Macaca mulatta: one gene and its partners. The protein of the gene in region 3 purifies or fractionates together with the protein of the main gene of each other region. This does not show direct contact. Links are inferred from orthologs where the notes say so. Each region holds a gene or a part of one and is shown on either strand. Other genes may lie near its edges. The genes, in order: FKBP5, CDC37, KSR2 and MAP2K2.

Region 1 (5,589 bases), on a different chromosome or scaffold from region 3:
TTACTTACCTGCCTTACCCAGGAAAAGGACATGGGCTGCTCAAGCACACACCTCTTTGCCATCTATGCCAGCATTTTTACCTTCAAGGCCGATGTTCTCATCATGTTAAGTACATTTGAGTTTAGTAAATAAGTACGGGTTCTAGCCAGGGTTCAAAACCAGTTCAGGGCAGGGCGCGGTGGCTCAAGCCTGTAATCCCAGCACTTTGGGAGTCGGAGACAGGCAGATCACAAGGTCAGAGTGGCCAGCCTGGCCAACATGGGGAAACCGCGTCTCTACTAAAAAATACAAAAATTAGCTGGTGATGTGTACCTGTAATCCCAGCTACTCAGGAGGCTGAGGCAGAACTGCTTGAACCCACGAGGCGGAGGTTGCAGTGAATCGAGATCGCACCACTGCACTCCATCCTGGCAACAGAGGGAGACTCCGTCTCAAAACCAGTTTAGTCACGGATTTAGCTTTGTGGTCTCCTTGTGCCTCATTTTCCCCACCTGTAAAATAGAAACAATAAGACTTACTTCATGGGATTGCGAGGATTAAGTAAAGCACTTGGAACAGTGCCCAGCACACAGAGCTCAACAAATGTTGACTATAATCCTAATTATCTCCGCAGGTTTCACCTGGACAACATGTGGGGTGTGGGCAGGCAGTGAGAACACAGACGGTAGCCCTCAATGCATCCCAGCCTGAAAAGCACATGAGTCAGCCCTTCCTTCCACTTACCCACTACCTCTCACGCTAGTCGTTGTCTTTTTTTTTTTTTTGATACGAGTCTGGCTCTGTCTCCCAGGTTGCAGTGCAGTGGCGCCATCTCGGCTCACTGCAAACTCGGCCTCCCAGGTTCGAGCAATTCTTGTGCCTCAGCTTGCCGAGTAGCTGGAACTACAGGCGTGCACCACCGCGCCTGGTTAATTTTTGTATTTTTAGTGGATTGGATTTCACCATTTCGGCCAGGCTGGTCCCGAACTCCTGCTCTCAGGTGATCTGCCTGCCTCGGCCTCTCAAAGTGCTGGGATTACAGGCATAAACCACCACACCAGACCTCCCTGGTCTTCTTAAAGTGAATCAATCCGAATTCCTGTAATCCATGTAACTGCTTTGAGTGACTCTGGAACCCTCTTTGAAGCCCCCACAAATACCTAAAAGAGGAGCAGGAGCGCTACAACACATTCCCCTAAACTGTGTTTCTAAGAACCATCCAACTACCTGTGGAACCCTAAGGCCCCTTCCTCATCTCTTTACCAATATCCTGGCAATGGTTGTTTGAGCCTAGTTAATGACAGAAGCTCCAGCCAGATGCTGTTGGGGGTCCTCTACGAAAAGACACCGCCATTCCCGAGGGTGATACTGCAGCGGCCCAGTACTTGTGCGCATAGAAGCTAAGGGGAAATTGCCCTACCCTAAACTCCAGTGAAAAGCCCTTTGCAGTCCGACAGGCTTGCATTCACATCCCAGCAGTGTGGGGTTTGGACAAATTCCATAATCTGAGTCTGTTTCCTCTTCTAGAACGCGAGTCTATGAATTCCTGTCTACTGCCTGGAAGTGCCGCTGTCAGGACTGACTAAGATAATGTGTGTACTTTCGGTGCACAGGGGACGCTCAACACGTGCGAGCTTCCCTTGCAGAAAACCAAGAGATGAAAGGCTGGGGGCCGCCCCTGCCTTGACGTGCATCCCATACTCTCCGAGATCATCTCTCCCCAGCTAGCGCTTACTCCTGCCCAGGAACCAGATCCTGGGGCCTCCGGGTAGCTCCGGCTAAGGCGCGGGAAGCAGAGGGGGCCAGCGCCCCCAGAGGAGGAGGTTGGGGGGGAAGGAGGCCGCGCCTTTCCCCGCCCCGGGCCTCCCCCCGTCTTGCTCTCCCTCCCCGGACTACCTCCTCCCCCCGCGCGCATCCGGCGACGGGCACAGGATGTTCTTTCGCTCCCGTCCCCGCTCCGCCCCCGCTCTCACTTTCTCTTCGCTCCCCTCCCCCACTCGCGCCGCGCCCGGCGCCGGCACCTAATTTAACTCTTTCTCTCCCGCGCTCGTTGGCGCCTGTGCGCCTCCTGGGCGGGGGTCCCATCCTTCCCGCCCGCCCCCCAGGACGTGGAGCGAGGGGGCTGACCGGGAAGGGGCGGGCCTGAGCTGAGCGCTGGGCCCAGGTTCTCAGGATCCTTTAGCCCGCAGCTGGTGGAGAGGGCTCACCGGGATCCGGCACTCTAGAACCCCCGCTAGTTCACCCGGGTAAGGGTGGGGGTGGAGATGGGTACCCACACTCGAGACAGCTGCGCGCCCAAGAAAGGCGGCCAGGCGGGCTTAGATGCTGGCCCGGCGGGGGGCGAGTAGGGTCAAGGGCCACCAACCTCATCCTCCCCCCAGGTTCGGATGCGGAGGGGCCCAGGGCACCAGCAGAGGATGGAGAGAGGCCACGCCCCTCGGCGACGTCACTGATGTCAAGGCAACCGGGGGCGGGACGGTGGGCTACTGAAGGGCAGACCTCAGGGAATTGAGGCTGCCGGTGGCTCTGGGACGGGGTGGGGGTGGGGGTGGGGGCGCAGCAGGGGCGGGCTTTTCAATTTGCTTCAGTCAATGATGTCCAAAAAACGGAGTGAGGGTCAGCTTCTGTTCGCTCTTTGATTCAACAGGCATTTATTGAGCGTTATGCTTGGGGCTGTGCTTAGGCACTGGGATATTGCGTGCCATCCGAACCCTGCCAGTTGTTGTGAACTACGGTAGGGTGGCTCTGCGTCCCTGGAACGGACGTAATTATTAACAGTGCCCCTTTTCAAGTTTAAAGTGTCCCAGTATGGGCAGTAGTTAAGGAACACCTTTCTCCCAATTCAGAAAAGGCTCCAACCATACGGGGAAGGAATATAAACTATTGGGTACAACAGGCACTTTCCTGGTGCTTTGTATTCTCTGTAATTTTTGCCCCTCATTCTGCAAAACGAGTGTCACTAGCGGCTTTTACAGACGAAGAAACTGGCTCAGAGAGGTTAAGAGACTTACCCAGGGCCAAACAGCTAAGTGTTGGAACCAGGATCCAGACCCAAGTTTTATGTGCCCTCCAAAGTATTTCGTGCCTGCTTCTCAAAATAAGTAGATGATGTCAAATAAATAAAAGACACTGTCCCTGCCATTAAAAAGCCTACAGCCTATGGGAGAAGAGGTTTAAAATACTGCAGGACATAACTAAGCAATAAAACATAAAAAAGATTAGGTGGGGCACGGTAGCTCACTCCTGTAATCCCAGCACTTTGGGAGGCTGAGGCGGGTGGATCACCTGAGGTCAGGAGTTTGAGACCAGCCTGACCAATATGGTGAAACCCCGTCTCTACTAAAAATGCAAATATTAGCTGGGCGTGGTGGTGTTCAACTGAAGTCCCAGCTACTCGGGAGGCTCAGATAGGAGAATTGCTTGAACTGGGGAGGCAGAGGTTGCAATGAGCCGAGATCGCCCCACTGCACTCCACCCTGGGCGACAGAGCAAGACTCAATCTCAAAAAAAGAAAAAAAAAGGAAAAGATTAAAGGCAGCTCACAGGCTCAGAGGGAAGCCACTAGTTATGCCACTCTCCTTTCCACATTCTGCCCTCCTCTGTGGTTTTGTCTCTTACTGAACAGGGACTCCTAGCAGGCATCTGCCCTCATTCTGCTCTGCACCCAAGGTTTTGCAGTTGGTATTTGCCACAACCTTCCTGATATTAACTTGGATGTCGGCCTCTCCCTTCCCCACCAGCTCCCCACCTCCAGCCACCTAAGATTTTGGGGAAATGAAAAACAGTGGCCCTTCAAAACAAAAGGGCCCCAGTGAGCATTGGGAAGCCAATAGGCTTGATGGGACTGGGGAGACCAAGGCAGGAGAGAGAATTGGAACGGTGGAAAGGGAACACCACCAAATGGATGGGTCACTTGAGGAACATTTGCTGCCCTCCTGCTGTGCAGGAGGCACTGCACTCAACCCTGTGGCCTGGACATGCCATGAGTGAATTCAGGTCCCATCTCACAGAGAATACACAGCTTAGCTAGTGTACTCACTGTGCTTGGTTGAGGAGTCTGAAGTTGATAACATACACAATAAATGATGTTTGAGAAAGATTATTCCAGCAGGGTGTGTAGGAGGAAGGAAAAAGAAAGGACAGTGTAGCAGCTGCTGTGAGAATTTGGGCCAAAGGTGGAATCTATGGGGCTGGAGGGGAAAGGGTGAAGGAGAAAAGTAATGAACAAACAATATATTTTGAAATAAAAGCAACAAAGGGAAGAATTTGATAAGATATCAGACATAAGGATGATGAAGGAGAGAAAGTAGTTAAACATTAATCTACCTTTGCAGTGAGTTTCAGGACTGGGAGGGTCATGGTGGGCAATGGGGAGGAGCTGGTGTGAGGGACATGAATATGAGTTCAGTCACTTCTAGGCCATGTAAGGGCAGGTGTCCCGTAGGTGACTGGACTTGGAGATAGGGAAGTCCAGAAGAGCAGTGGGCTGCTGTCTGAGAGTGTCCCTGTCATAGCCTCGAGCAATCACTGACCTGGGATCACGGACAGATTTCAAGCATCAGGAAGAAGGTGGGAGTAGATGGCAGTGAAGGTGCCTCCCAACTGGGAGATGCAGTGTGCATTGGCTGGGTGAGAGCCTGTGTGGGAAGTGTGATGTATGTATGGGAAGGGGGTCCACGGCTCAGGCCTGTGTTGGCATCTTTAGCCACAGAGGGTGCCAGAGATGCCATCAGATGGCAGGAGGCCCAGGTAAGGCACTTCAGCAGCCTGAGGTCCCTCCCCTAGGCCCACCCTCAAAGGCCCTGGAGCCCAGGCCTATGCTGCCTGCCAGGGCCTTTCCCGGAACCACTCCTCCCCGCCTGCCCTGGCACTCTCCAGGCACAAAGCATCCCTCAGGGCACTGCGCAGCACCCCAGGAAGCTGGGACGTGGGGCAGGTCCCCATCCCCAGGAAGAGCCCTGCTCTGGGCTGCTGTCATCATCACAATGGCCCCACAAGATGCCAGGACACAGCATAGGGACAGCATAAGTCCCCAGTGGGGACCCCAAATGGGACCCCATTTCCCCTGCATAGAGGTGGAAGGAGGAGGTTTGTGGCTAGGTGGCAGGATTCCTGGGTCTTTATTGTGGTTTGGGGGTGGGGGCAGAAAAGCAGGGTCTCAGGCTTCAAAACACCACACCACCTGCCTGTTCCTCCCTCCGAGGAGGAAATCTTCAGGGGCCTTGTGGTTTTGAGGGGAGGGGGCAGGAAGAGACTCTGAACTCTGGGTCAGCTGAGGACAGAGATAGGGGAGATCCTCTTGCCCTATGTCCCACTTTTCTTCTAGGATCCTCTTCCTCGGCTCCCTACTCCGCCACTACCCCAGAACAAACTCCTACCTCTGTTTGCAACTAAGAGTTACATCCCCCATGCCAAGACCTTCCGAGGCGTCCCAGAGGGGTGAGGTTTGGGGAAAACAGAACATGTACACAGCAGCTGTGTGCCTGGCCACACCTGTCGGGTGGGGTGAGGAGAGTGCTCCTCCCAGGTGGGCAGAGCCTGCTGCGCTCAGGCTGGGGGCTGGGAGACGCTTTAATACAGGGGCTAGATGGCAGAGAGATGCGCGAACCG
Region 2 (4,043 bases), on a different chromosome or scaffold from region 3:
TTACCTAAGCCCACACTAAGAGAAATTCCAAGTGCTCAAGGGCCAGCATGGAGTTGGGGACAGACAACAGGGCAGGGAGGTAACAGGCAGATGGCGCTGGGGCCTGGTCAGTCATAGGGAGGACTTTGGCTTCTGTTCCCAGGGAGGGGAGTCCTGTGAGGCTTTTGAGCAGAGGTGGGACATGCCCCGACCCTGATGTTCACAGATGCCCTCTGGCTGCTGCCTGTTGGGGAGCTAGCTTGGAGTGGTGAATGGGAAGGAGGCTGGGGCAGGAATTAGAGCCAGAAGGGATGGGGACCTGGAGGCCACAGGGACAAAAGGCAGTGGTCAGAATCAAGATATCTGGGTGGGGGGGGAGACCAGGTGTGGTGGCTCACACCTGTAATCCAAGCACTGTGGGAGTCCAAGGTGGGCGGATCACTTGAGGTCAGGAGTTCAAGACCAGCGTGGCCAACATGGTGAAACTCCGTGTCTACTAAAACACAAAAAATTAGCCGGGCGTGGTGGCGGACACCTATAATCCCAGGAGGAGGCTGAGGCAGGAGAATCGCTTGAATCCGGGAGGCGGAGGTTGCAGTGATCCGAGATTCCACCACCGCACTCCAGCCCCGGCGACAGCTAGACTCTCAAAAAAAAAAAAAAAAAAAAACCAAGGCCGGGCGCGGTGGCTCAAGCCTGTAATCCCAGCACTTTGGGAGGGCGAGACGGGCGGATCATGAGGTCAGGAGATCAAGACCATCCTGGCTAACACGGTGAAACCCCGTCTCTACTAAAAAATACAAAAAATTAGCCGGGCGAGGTGGTGGGCGCCTGTAGTCCCAGCTACTCGGGAGGCTGAGGCAGGAGAATGGCGAGAACCCAGGAGGCGGAGCTTGCAGTGAGCTGAGATCTGGCCACTGCACTCCAGCCTGGGCGACACAGCGAGACTCCGTCTCAAAAAAACAAAACAAAACAAAACACCAAAAAACCAAAACACATCTGTTGGGGCCAGTGCTGGCCATAGGGTGGGGAGATATAGTCCAGGATGCTGCTCCAAAAGGTGGTAAGGAAGCTGGAAGGCCGGGGCTCTGTGGGCAGGTGGGCAAGATCCACAAAACCCTAGGGAACGTTGACTTGGTTTGCAGATCACTACTGCCCTCTGGTGGTGATCAGCTTGGGCAACCCTGCTTCTGGAGGTTCAAGTAGGGACAGGGGAGTGGGTAGGTGAGAACTGAAGGTTAGAGGCTTTTGAGGCCTCTGGAGGAAGACTGTTCCAAGTGGTGGAACAGCATGTGTGAGGCGAGGACCCACGATGGCTGGTGGGCAAAGGACCAGAGAAGCACAGGCTCAGTCCCCAATAATTCCACCAGGTTTCCCTCCCACCTAGAAGAGATGAGCTGCCTGAACAGCCCTCCAGCAGCCCAGAGAGCATCTGAAATTCTTTATTGGAACATCATTGCTGTTTGCCAAATAGAAGACACAGACAGCAGACGAACAGTGAAAACAGAGCCCAGTGACCAGAGCTGGCCCCTTGGCTGAGGACCCTCCCCTACTACCTGGTGGACCAGCCTGGCAACCTCTGCCCCTCCCCGGACCCCCGGGCCTTTGGCATAATGCTGATGGGGGGCTGCAGGCAGTGAAGCCCCTTGACTCAAAGCAGAGACTTGAATGGGCGCTGGAGAGTGGGGACAGTGGAGAGGCCAGGGAGGGCTGGGCGGGCCCCCCGGGCTGGGCCGAGCAGCGCAAGTGGAGGAAGCCAGGAGCGGGCGAGATGGCATCTATCTGTTTTCTGAAAAGGGGCACATAGGGGCCTGGAAGCAGGTGGTGGTGGTAGCTGGGGCAGGTCACACGCTGACATCCTTCTCATCTCCCGTCTTGGGAACAGCCTCCAGCAGCGGGTCCCCAGGACCTGCCTCTTCTCCCTCCTTGGCCTCACTGGCCTTAGAGTTGGGGACCCAGAGGCCGGAGTCAATGCAGCGTTGCATGTGGTACTTCGCGTCCTGTGAGGAGAAGGGCAGGCAGATGAGGTGGGGCCACCACCCAGGGGTCCCCATTATCCCCTGCACATCCCCAAGCTGGCTTCCTGCCTATTGATATTTAACCAATTTATTTGAGATGGAGTCTCACTCTGTCACCCAGGCTGGAGTGCAATGGTGCAATCTCGGCTCACTGCAACCTCCACCTCCCAGGTTCAAGTGCCTCAGCCTCCCAAGTAGCTGGGGTTACAGACACCTGTCACCATGCCTGGCTGATTTTTTTACTTTTAGTAGAGATGGGGTTTTGCCATGTTGGCCAGGCTGGTCTCAAACTCCTGACCTCAGGTGATCCGCCTGCCTTGGCCTCCCAAAGCGCTGAGATTACAGGCGTGAGCCACCGTACTCAGCTGGAACTTTAAATTTTATTTAACTTTAATTTAAATTTAGATAGTGCAATCTAGAACAAAAGCCAGCAAATTTTTTTAGTAAAGGGACTGACTAAATATTTCTGCTTCCGCAAGCCATATGGTCTCCGTCACGACTCAACTCTGTGGCAGAGCAAGATCGGTTGTAGATGACAGTGAAACAATTGAGCATGGCTTCTTTGTTGCAATAAAACTTTATTATAAAGACAGGCAGTGAGTCTGGGAGCTGCGGTTTGCAGAAGCTGGTCTAGATGGCTATGCCCATAGAAGCTTCTAGAAACTCATGGCCAGTCCTGCAGCTAGACCCATTTTACAGACGAGAAAACCAGGGTGACCAACCAGTGAGCCAAGTGGTAGGAATAGGGTCAATCGTGTCCTACTTAGATTCAACGTCTATTGCCACTTCCAAAAATACAGCCAGTTAGACCTTCTTTATAAAAACATAATTTTTAGAAAAAAAATCAGTGAGATGTCATGGTGTCAGCCTATAATCCCAGGTACTTGGGGAGGCTGAGGTGGGAGGATCACTTGAGCCTGGGAGGTGGAGGCTGCAGCCTGGGTGAGAGAGGAAGACCCTGTCTGTCAAAAAAAAAAAAACAGATGGCCAGGTGCAGTGACTCACGCCTGTAATCCCAGCACTCTGGGAGGCTGAGGCGGGCGGATCACGAGGTCAGGAGATTGAGACCATCCTGGCTAACACAGTGAAACCCCGTCTCTACTAAAAAATACAAAAAATTAGCCGGGCATGGTGGTGGGTGCCTGTAGTCCCAGCTACTCGGGAGGCTGAGGCAGGAGAATGGTGCGAACCCGGGAGGCGGAGTTTGCAGTGAGCAGAAATAGCACCACTGCACTCCAGCCTGGGTGACAGAGTGAGACTCTGTCTCAAAAAAAAAAAAACAAAAACAAAAAACAGACAAAATCCAATTAACAGCCAGCATTTACCAGCCCCTGCCGTGTGCTCAGCTCCTTTCCCCACACGTTTTGTGAGCTGATATTGAGAGAAAATATGGTTTGCATAAGGAAACTGAGGCTGGACTCAGTCACAGTAACAGTGACTATCAGTCACAAGGGACATACGCTCAAAGCTCAGCATTTATCTGCTGGATGCTGGGACACAGTAGGTGCTCAATAAATGTGGGTGTGTGCCAAGGTAACACGACCCCCCTTAGTCCTTGGAGAAGCCTTGGAGGGGCACTTTCACCAACTGGCTTCAGAGACTTGGGACACAGGGCTGGGGGAGACACATGGCCCGCTGGAAAGGCATGGGACGTGGGGGTTACTCACGGTGGGGTCCATCTTGCTGATGGCGTCTTGCAGCATCTGCACGTCCTTTACATCGAAGCACTTCTGGAGTTCCTGGGGGTATAGAAGGGCTGGGGTCAGGGGCTGGGTCCCTGTGCCCTGGGGGGTCCCGCTCAGGGTCCTCCTGCCGCCCGCCTGGGCTGGGGAGCCGCACCTCAGGGAGGGACTCGTAGACCTCGACAGGGTCCAGGCCGCCGGGGCCAAGCCGCTTCTTGCGCTCCTCCTCCTCATACTCCTTCATGGCCTTCTCAATGCGCAGCTTGGCACGGCCCCGCACACGCTCCTTGAAGGCTTCTAGCTCGTCGTTGAAGCCCTCCATGTACTGGCGATCGGCTGTCTATGGGGGTCGGGCAGTGCTCAC
Region 3 (4,997 bases):
ACCCCATGTCTTCACCTTGAGGTTTCAGCAGGCCCCAATCTCTGTGGCTGTCACAAAACCATGCAAATCAAACCCAACTCCAATCAGAAAAGCATCTATCCTCTGCTTCACCCTCAGAGGTCTCAGACACGCATTCTACGTCTTCAAGCTAGGTTTCCACACAGCAGCTTGAATATGACTATTGTAAAATCATATGTTCCACGTCAATCACTTTAGGGCATTCCCAATGCTTCAAAAAAGAGAATCACTCTCTACACCACAGCTTCAGACAGGGCTTGGTAAACCACAGTTCATGGGCCAAATTGGGCCAGGTACCTGTTTTTATAAATAAAGTTTTATTGGAACACTGCCATGCCTATTTGTTTACCTATTGTCTGTGCTGGTTTTGTGCTACATGATAGAGTTGAGTAGCTGCAATAGAGACCAAATGGCCTGCAAAGTCTAAAGTATTTACTATCTGCCCCTGTACAGAAAAAGTGTGCCAACTCTTCACTTACAGAATCCTGCCTTTTTTTAATGGTGATAAAATACACATAACATAAAATTTACCATCTTAACTGCTTTGAAGTGTAGAGATCAGTGGTATTAATTACATTTGCATTGTTGTACAACCATCACCACCATCCATCTCCAGAATGTTTACATCATCCCAAATGCAAAGTCTATACCCAATAAATAATAACTCCCCATTCTCCCTCCCCTCAGCCCTGGCATCCACTGTTCTACTTTCTGCCTCTTTGAATCTGTCTACTCTAGGTATCTCATATTGGTGGAATTATGCAGTATTTGTCCTTATGTGTCTGGCACATTTTACTTAGCATGCTGTCTTCAAGGTTCACCCATGTTGTAGCATATATCAGAAGTTCCTCCCACGTCGGGCGTGGTGGCTCATGCCTGTAATCCCAGCACTTTGGGAGGCCAAGTCGGGCAGATCATTTGAGGTCAGGAGTTTGAAACCAGCCTGGCCAACATGGTGAAACCCTGTCTCTACTAAAAATACAAAAAATTAGCCAGGCATGGTGGCGCAGGCTTCTAGTCCCAGCTACTCGGGAGGCTGAGGCAGGAGAATCACTTGAACCTGGGAGGCAGAGGTTGCAGTGAGCTGACATCGCACCACTGCACTCCAGCCTGGGCAACAGAGCGAGACTCTGTCTCAAAAAAAATAAGTTTCTTCCTTTTTAAGGCTAAATCATATTGCATTGTATGGATAGACCACATTGTGTTTACTCATTTGTCTACTGATGGACACAGGTTGTTTCTACTTTTTGGCTACTGTGAATAGCACAGCAACCTGCCCAATCCTCAAGTGTCACCCTACATCACACACCTGCTCTCTCCCTCAAAGGGGTCCTCTGTCAATTTCCTCAATGTGTCCTGCTTCCTACCACCTTCAACTGAAATGAGCCGTGGATATAAAATACACATTCAATATCAAAGACTTTGTATTTTAAAAAATGCAAAATATCTCAGTAATGATATTTTACATTCATTCTATGTTAAAATATTATCATTTTGATATATTAGGTTGAATGACGTATTATGATAATTAATATCACTTGTTCCTTTTCATTCTTTTTAATGTGACTACTAGAAAGTTGAAGGTTAATATATGCCTCATATCCTATTTCTAGGAGCGGCACTAGGCTAGACTCTGCAGGGGTTGGCAAACGTTTTCAGTAAAAAGCCAGATGGTAAATATTTTCAGCTTTGTGGGCCATTCTCACTCTGCCATTGTCAGACAAAAGCAGCCATAGGCAACACATAAAGGAATGATCATGGGTATGTTCCAATACCTTTTATTTACAAAATCAGGCCAGCTATCAGATTTAGCCCCTAGGCTATAGGATATTAATCGTATTTTTTAAATGGCCTATTCTGAGAAAGTCTGTTCTATTCATTTTCTCAGAACCCTCTGTGAAAAGCCATTTTTCATTCAGCCAGAGTCTGGAACACAAGTCTGTTCCCGGTTTCCCTGACCTGGGCAGCTCCTGAGACCACGGGGCAGCCCCTCGCAGTCCGGGACTCGACAGCCCCAGGGCACCCACCGACCGCACTCACTTGGGCGTGTGGGCCTCGTCCACGCGGTGCCCCAGCTGGAACTCGTGGGATTTGCTCCGATGCAGCGCGGTGAACCCCGGGATCAAGTGTATCAGCTTTCGGGAGGAGGGTGGTGGGGTCCCCGGGGGCTTCAGCTTGTTCTTCTTCCTCATGGGCGGCGTGCCCGGCGGGGTCACGGTGGTGACGATGTTGGGGGTGCGCGGCGGGGTGCGGACCGCGTGCCGCTGCCGGGGCGATGGGGGCAAGGAACGGTGGCCCGACTCCAGGGGCGGGGGCGGGCACAAGCCCGGGTAGGGGTCCACGGTAAGCCTGTCCACGTGAGTGTACACAGGGGCCCCGGGAGTGGGGCTGGTGTGACAATAGTGCTGGACGCACTTGGACTGGACCCTGGGGCTCTGGGAGAGATGGGTGCGGATCCACGGGGTGGGCTCCGGGGGGCACACGGGATTGTTCTCCTTCCCCGTTTCTGTCGTGGGCCACTGGATGGTCCAGTCTTGTTTGGAAAGGTTGCCTCCTAAGTTGGAACAGAAGAGCAGAGACAATGGGTAAGCCATGAGAAAGCCAGATGAGTTATACCACATACACCATTACATCATACACACATTACACCACATGCCCATTACATCATACGCATGTTACACTATATACCTGTTACATCCTATGCATGTTATTTCATGTGCACATTACACCACGTGCCCATTACATCATATGCATGTTACACTATATACCTGTTACATCCTATGCATGTTATTTCATGTGCACATTACACCATGTGCCCATTACATCATATGCATGTTACGCTATATAACTGTTACATCGTATGTATAACATACGCTCATTATATCATATGCACATTAAATCACATGCATGTTACACTATATATCTGTTACATTGTATGCATGTTATATGTACATTATATCATATGCACATTACATCATATGCATGTCACATTATATGTACATTACATCATATGCATGCTATTTCATATGCCCATTACCTCTTATAGACATTCTATCAAATGCACGTTACATCATACTCACATTAGATCATAAGCACATTTACATAAATCCAACCACCCCTACTTGGCCTCTCCAAAAAGAGAATGAAATCCCTTTGTTGACCCTGTTACCCTATTCCCCATTCAACAGCCTTGTCTTCCACTGCCCCATAGCTGGAAAGACCCCACAGCCCAAATGCTCAGAAAAGCAAAGAAGTTAATTCTCGCCTTTTGAGCTTCCCAAGGTTCCAGTTCCGGCAGTTTCAAAGTGATTTAAAGGATTTTAAAGGATAACTTTTCCCTTACATGGACATTTTAATACCTAACCCTCACATGAGATACACAGATTCCAAGGAAGTCAAGTTCATCCTTCTCCCTGACCACTTCCTCGGCCACCGCATACTTCTTCCAGATCTATGTCACCATGTTCTCATTCATGCATTTGTCCAGTAAACATCCTGTGAGTGCCAACTATGCCCTTTGCTTGGAAAAGACACAAAAGTAACACAGAAGAGACCCTGGTCCCTGGACTTACATTCTGCCAAAGCAGAGTCATGATAGACAAGAAAACATGCTCACTGAAGGATTTCACCCTCCTCCCGAAAGCTGATACACTTGATCCCAGGGTTCACCGCGCTGCATCGGAGCAAATCCCACAAGTTCCAGCTGGGGCACTGCGTGGACGAGGCCCACACGCCCAAGTGAGTGCGGTCGGTGGGTGCCCTGGGGCTGTCAAGTCCCGGACTGCGAGGGGCTGCCCCGTGGTCTCACGAGCTGCCCAGGTCAGGGAAGCCGGGAACAGACTTGTGTTCCAGACTTGTGTTATTGGTGCTGGGAGGGAAATAAACAGAATGATGTGATAAAAGCAATATGGGTGGCTGTGCACGGAGGCTCACACCTGTAGTTCCAGTAATTTGGGAGGCCAAAGTGGGTAGATCGCTTGAGGTCAGGAGTTCAAGACCAGCCTGGCCAACATGGTGAAACCCCATCTCTACTAAAAATGCAAAAAATTAGCCAGGCATAGTGGCACGCACCTGTAATCCCAGTTACTGGGGAGGCTGAGACAGGAGAATTGCTTCAACCCAGGAGGCAGAGATTACAGTGAGCCAAGATTGCATCACTGCACTCCAGCCCAGGCTACAGGCTCGCTCTAAAAAAACAAAGAATATGGGTAACAGAATGGTTAACCATAGAGTGCTACATACAAACCACATGCTACACAGCTCAGCCAGGAGAAGGCACCAAGTGCCAATGCACACAAAAGCCTGGGCGAATGTCCAGAGAATTAGGCTGAGTAAAAAAAATGCCAATCCCCAAAGGTTACATACTATATGACTCCATTTATATAGTATTTTTGAAATGACAACATTTTTGAAACAGAGGATAGACTGATGGCTGCCAGGGGTTAGGGATGGCAGAAAAGTGGGTAGGAGAAAAATGGATGCGGGGATAGAAGAGCAATACAAGGGAGCCTTGGAGTGCTGGAACTCTCCAGCATCTTGACTGTGGTAGATATACAAACCTACACAGATGATCAGAGTACATAAAAGTAGGCCCGTGGTGCACATAGACACCATGGAATACTATGCAGCCATAAAAAAGGATGAATTCAAGTCATTTGTAGGGACATGGATGAAGCTGGAAACTATCATTCTCAGCAAACTATCACAAGGACAGAAAACCAAACACCACATGTTCTCTCACTCATAGGTGGGAATTGAACAATGAGATCATTTGGACACAGGGTAGGGGACATCACACACAGGGTCCTGCAGGGGGAGTGGGGGACTACGGGAGGGATAGCATTAGGAGAAATACCTAATGTAAATGATGAGTTGACGGGTGCAGCAAACCAACATGGCACAAGTTTACCTATGTATCAAACCTGCACGTTATGCACATGTACCCTAGAACTTAAAATTTAAAAAAAAAAAAAACTAGG
Region 4 (4,997 bases), on a different chromosome or scaffold from region 3:
GGTACTGTGAGGTGGCCTTGGGCAGGCCGTGTGACCACCACCCTGGAAGTGAGCTACGGCGGAGTGGAGGAACTCAGAAGCAAGAACCAACCAACCCACCTCTGCTACGAGCACGGGCAACTCAAGCCCCACGTGCGTAACAAGCAGCAAGTTCTTCACCTGTCTCCCCGGCCCAGGGAATGCAGGGAATGCAGGGGTGCCGCTCCAATGGGAGGGGGTCAGAGGCCACCGTCAGGCCAAGAAGACACTCACAAGCCAGCATGACCTTAAACACTGAGACTGGGCCAGGCGCAGTGGCTCACGCCTGTAATCCCAACAATCTGGGAGGCCAAGATGGGTGGAATCCTTGAGGTCGGGAGTTCGAGACCAGCCTGGCCAACATGGTGAAACCTCGTCTCTACTAAAAATACAAAAAGTAGCTGGGCATGGTGGTGGGCACCTGTAATCCCAGCTACTCAGGAGGCTGAGGCAGGAGAATCGCTTGAACCTGTGAGGTGGAGGTTGCAGTGAGCCAAGATCACGCCACTGCACTCCAGTCTGGGTGACAGAGCGAGACTCTGTCTCAAAAAAATAAATAAATAAAAATAAAAATAAGTAAATAAATAAGATGAGATGAAAGGAGCCCTCGCAGTCCCACCTGCATAGCAGCCAGAGCTGCTGAGCCCGCGCGCTCAACGCATCCTCTCCCACCCCCGAGTCTGCAGGCGCTTAGAAGAAAACCTAATTTTGAAAGAATTATAGAAGCACAGGAAGTTGCAAAAATAGTACCGACAGTCCTGTGTGCCCTTTCCCCGCCTTCCCCAAGGTGAATGACAGCTTCATGACGGAAGGACAGAACCAAACCCCAGAGCCGACGCTGGGACGTCCCCATGCACCAGACCACAGAGCCTGCCCAGCCACGCCTGCCCTCAGGTTTAAAGGCCCCGACCTCCCTTTCCCGGCTGTGGTAAAGCTGCAGGTGAGCCCGTCTTCACCTGTGCCGGTCAGCAGGAGCAGGAGCTGCTGATGCAGCAAGCACTGGGTTCATGTCCACTGCCCAGCCCATCAAGGACCACTGGAGGCTCCCTGAGAAGCCCGAGGGTCCCTGGCACACACGGGGACTGGCACTCTGTCTCAAGGCCCTGCTGTGGCTCTGTCAACCACAAGCTTGCTTTTTTCCTCCCGGTGCTTCGGGCGGAGGCGGACCTGAGCTTTCCAAGGCTGCTCTGGTTTGGAAGAGGCTGCCTGCAGCACGGGGACAGAAATAGCAAGTCCGCGGCTGCAGACTTCAGGAGGGAGGGAGGGTGGCACTCTAGAGGCCAGAAGACAGAGCTGCAGAGCTAAATCCCCGCAGGAGCTGAGCCGCTGCTCCCGAGGAAGGCAGGGCCCCCCAGCAATGCTGCCACCTGCGCGGACCCACAGGACTGGGTGCGGTCAGGTTCCCCCAGTTTGGGGGACTACAGGATGGTGGGCTTCCAGGAAGAGGCAGCATTCTATGTCTGCAAGAACACAGGTGAGGAGCTGAACGCCCCGTCAACACTAAGTCCTCTGCTTATGTGTTTAAGAGCCGCTGTCCCCGAGTGGTCACAACCTCCCTGTATCCCCTGGGCACTCTTCTCAAACACAGAGCAGAGGCTGCATCATGGCCCAGGAGCCCGGGATGACTAAGCTCGGGGGCTGTCAGCGCCAGGGCTTGCAAATTCTCAAAGAGTGGGGTGACAGTCAGCTTTATGCGTCTCCTGGGTGAGACCACGGTGCCTCGTCGTCAAACGCCAGTCTAGAGGTTGCTGGGAAGGTACGTTTTTAAGATGTGATTAACCTTTAAATCGGCAGACTCTGAGCAAAGCAGATTACTCCTCCCAGAGTGGGTGAGTCTCAGCCAATCGGCTGAAGGCCTTCAGGGAAAAGCCTGCCCAGGCACGGTGGCTCGTGCCTGTAATCCCAGCACTTTGGGAGGCCGAGGCAAGAGGATCACTTGAGGTCAGGAGTTCGAGACCAGCCTGGCCAACACAGTGAACCCCATCTCTACTAAAAAAACAAAAATTAACTGGGTGTGGTGGTGCACACCTGTGATCCCAGCTACTCAGGAGGCTGAGGCAGGAGAATCCCTTGAACCCAGGAGGTGGAGGTTGCAGTAAGCCAAGAAAAAAAAAAAAAAAAAAAAAAGAAGAATATAGGTCAAGCACAGTGGCTCATGCCTGTAATCCCAGCACTTTGGGAGGCCGAGGCGGGTGGATCGCCTGAGCTCAGGCCTGGTGTTCTCTTTAGTCCTGGCTACTTGGCAGGCTGAGGCAGGAGGATCACTTGAGCCCAGGAGTCTAAGACCAGCTTGGGCAACATAGTGAGACTCTGTCTCTACAAAACAAACAAACAATTAGCCGGGCGTGCACCTGTGGCCCCAGCTACTCTCAGGATGCTGAGGTGGGAGGATCGCTTGAGCCTAGGAGGCGGAGTCTGCAGTCAGCTATGATCGCACCACTGCACTCTAGCCTGGGCGACAGAGGGAGACCCTGTCTTGGGGAAAAAAGAGAAAAAAAAAACAACCAAAAAAAACACGCCCAAGGCCCCCGAAGAGGAGGGCCTGGATCTCAGCCGCAGCGTCAGCTGTTCCGTGGGGCTCTGGTCAGTCCTGCAGATTTCAGACCCACCAGCCCAGGGACTGTGTGAGCCAATTCCTTAGAATAAATCTCTCTCTACACATACAGTCAAGTATCGTTAAGGACGGGGATACACTGAGAAATCCCTCCCTGGGCGAGGTCGTCGCTGTGTGAACACCGGAAAGCCCATTCTACACCCAGGCTCTTGTACTCTGTACGGTGCGGTGCTGATAAGCATCTGTTTATCTAAATATAGAGAACCGAGGTGGGCGGATCACCTGGGGTCAGGAGTTCCAGACCAGCCTGGCCAACATGGCGACACTCCGCCTCCACTAAAAACACAAAAAAGTTAGCTGGGCACGGTGGTGTCCGCCTGTCATCCCAGCTACTTGGGAGGCTGAGGCAAGAGAATCCTTGAACCCAGGAGGTGGAGATTGCAGTGAGCCAAGATCGTGCCACTGCACTCCAGCCTGGATAGCAGAGAGACTCTGTCTCAAAAATAAATAAATAAATAAAAATAAACATACAGAAGGCAAAGACATGGCCCGATCATCTTACGTCACCACCGCTGCATAGGCGGTCTGTCATTGGCTGAGCCATCGCCATGAGGTGCGTGGCTGTACACACAGGCGCGAACGCACACACGCTTCATCGCTTGTTTCTCTGGAGAACCGTAACACATTCACATTCCTGAAATTCACACTTGTTAGCTTTCTGCGAATGTGGATTTCAAGTGCCCTCCAGGGCAGAAGGTAGCCACCGGAGGGCACAGCTGTGTGTGGCTGGCACCGTTCCCATCTGCCCAGAAGCTGGGCCCTTTCTCAGTACCTAGAGTCCCTGGTGGGGATGAGGAATGGAGCCTGGAGCTAATCAGAATGCAGAGACCCGGCTGCCTTCCCAACCTCCCTCCTGTTTCCAGGGGGAACCTTCCCCACCACTCCCCAACCTCCGACCCCGCAGCGCTCACCTTCCTGGCCATGATGAGGCCCGAGGGTCTGTGCTGGACTTTGGTGACCACCCCGCCGTTGCCCGCGCCCAGCTCTGAGATCCTTTCGAAGTCATCGTCTTTGAGTTCGCCGACCTTGGCTTTCTGGGTGAGAAAGGCTTCCAGACGCTTCTTCTGCTGCTCGTCAAGTTCCAGCTCCTCCAGCTTCTTCTGCAGGTCCACCAGGTTTGCCCTGCAGAGACCCCCAGGGCAGGGGTTAGCTACCTAGGGAGAGTCTACCTTTCCACCTGGCCGTTTACCGCGTGGCCGTGGCGCGCCGGCCCCCAGAAGGACACAGACTGGATTCCTGCACTTCAGGGGTTTGTGGTGTAGAAGGAAAGAAGGATCCATGCTGTGTACACTCAGCAGACACACCAATGACCAGAATCCAGGGCCGCTCCCCGGGAACTGAGGATGCTGCCTTGATCCCGTCTCAGCAAGTCTAGCAGACCTCAGGATCTCGAGGATAAGCCGCAGCTCAAAGGCCTCCATCTGCTTTTTCTTTTTCTTTTTTTGTGAGACAGAGTTTCCCTCTGTTGCTCAGACTGGAATGCAATGGTGCGATCTCGGCTCCCTGCAACCTCCGCCTCCCGGGTTTGAGAGATTCTCCTGCCTCAGTCTCCCAAGTAGCTGAGATTACAGGCGCCCGCCACCATGCCTGGCTAATTTTGTATTTTCAGTAGAGACGGGGTTTCACCATGTTGGTCAGGCTGGTCTCCAACTCCTGACATTAAGTGATCTGCCCGCCTCAGCCTCTCAAAGTGCTGGGATTACAGGCGTGAGCCACCACACCCAGCTGGGAGGCCTCCTTCCTAGGGCACAAGCTCCGGACCATGTCGGGAGGACACGAGGGAGGGATCAGGTGAACGGAGCCCAGGCCAGGATGCCTGTCTTTGCAGGAGATAGAGGAACAAGTGTTCTGAGCACAGTACGAGAACCGAGAGCGGAAGGCAGAAGGCTCAGTACAAAAGCTGCACCAGGCAGGCCCGGTGGTGCACGTCTGCAATCCCAGCCACTTGGGAGGCTGAGGCACGAGAACTGCTTGGACCCGGGAGGCGGAAGTTGCAGTGAACTGAGATCTTCCCACTGCACTCCAGCCTGGGTAGCAGAGGGAGACTCTGTCTCAAAACAAAACAAACCAAAAAACCAAAAAACAAGCATGACGAGCCTGGGCAACAAAGTGAGACCTACAGTCGAGCATGGTGGCTTAAGCCTGTAGTTCCAGTTACTCAGGAGGCTGAGGTGGGAGGATCACATGAGCCCAGGAGGTTGAGGCTGCAGTGAGCCATGATCATGACAATGCACTCCAGCCTGGGCGACAGAGCAAGACCTTGTTTCTACACAATAAAAAAATTTAAAAAAATTTAAACAAGCATGTACATTGCACTTTATTGGGTGATTCCAAGAATTTTCGACAGTAAGCTATTTTCACAAAT

The links.
Region 1: the proteins of KSR2 (region 3) and FKBP5 purify together in Homo sapiens (affinity purification with mass spectrometry; 3 studies listed by BioGRID and IntAct, with this or other methods). This does not show direct contact. The link is inferred for Macaca mulatta from reciprocal best matches to the Homo sapiens genes KSR2 and FKBP5.
Region 2: the proteins of KSR2 (region 3) and CDC37 purify together in Homo sapiens (affinity purification with mass spectrometry; 3 studies listed by BioGRID and IntAct, with this or other methods). This does not show direct contact. The link is inferred for Macaca mulatta from reciprocal best matches to the Homo sapiens genes KSR2 and CDC37.
Region 4: the proteins of KSR2 (region 3) and MAP2K2 purify together in Homo sapiens (affinity purification with mass spectrometry; 3 studies listed by BioGRID and IntAct, with this or other methods). This does not show direct contact. The link is inferred for Macaca mulatta from reciprocal best matches to the Homo sapiens genes KSR2 and MAP2K2.

The regions. Positions count from the first base shown.
Region 1 is NC_133409.1:146,535,828-146,541,416, forward strand, and holds the start of FKBP5 (peptidyl-prolyl cis-trans isomerase FKBP5), read left to right. Parts: upstream 1-2,253; 5' UTR 2,254-2,323; intron 2,324-5,558; exon of another isoform or gene 5,559-5,589. UniProt on the Homo sapiens protein: Immunophilin protein with PPIase and co-chaperone activities. Component of unligated steroid receptors heterocomplexes through interaction with heat-shock protein 90 (HSP90).
Region 2 is NC_133424.1:11,119,128-11,123,170, forward strand, and holds the end of CDC37 (hsp90 co-chaperone Cdc37), read right to left. Parts: intron 4,020-4,043; coding exon 3,837-4,019; intron 3,737-3,836; coding exon 3,665-3,736; intron 1,980-3,664; coding exon 1,824-1,979; 3' UTR 1,406-1,823; downstream 1-1,405. UniProt on the Homo sapiens protein: Co-chaperone that binds to numerous kinases and promotes their interaction with the Hsp90 complex, resulting in stabilization and promotion of their activity. Inhibits HSP90AA1 ATPase activity.
Region 3 is NC_133416.1:125,025,131-125,030,127, forward strand, and holds part of KSR2 (kinase suppressor of Ras 2), read right to left. Parts: intron 2,573-4,997; coding exon 2,059-2,572; intron 1-2,058. UniProt on the Homo sapiens protein: Location-regulated scaffold connecting MEK to RAF. Has very low protein kinase activity and can phosphorylate MAP2K1 at several Ser and Thr residues with very low efficiency (in vitro).
Region 4 is NC_133424.1:4,939,451-4,944,447, forward strand, and holds part of MAP2K2 (dual specificity mitogen-activated protein kinase kinase 2), read right to left. Parts: intron 4,790-4,997; exon of another isoform or gene 4,058-4,789; intron 3,755-4,057; coding exon 3,544-3,754; intron 1-3,543. UniProt on the Homo sapiens protein: Catalyzes the concomitant phosphorylation of a threonine and a tyrosine residue in a Thr-Glu-Tyr sequence located in MAP kinases. Activates the ERK1 and ERK2 MAP kinases.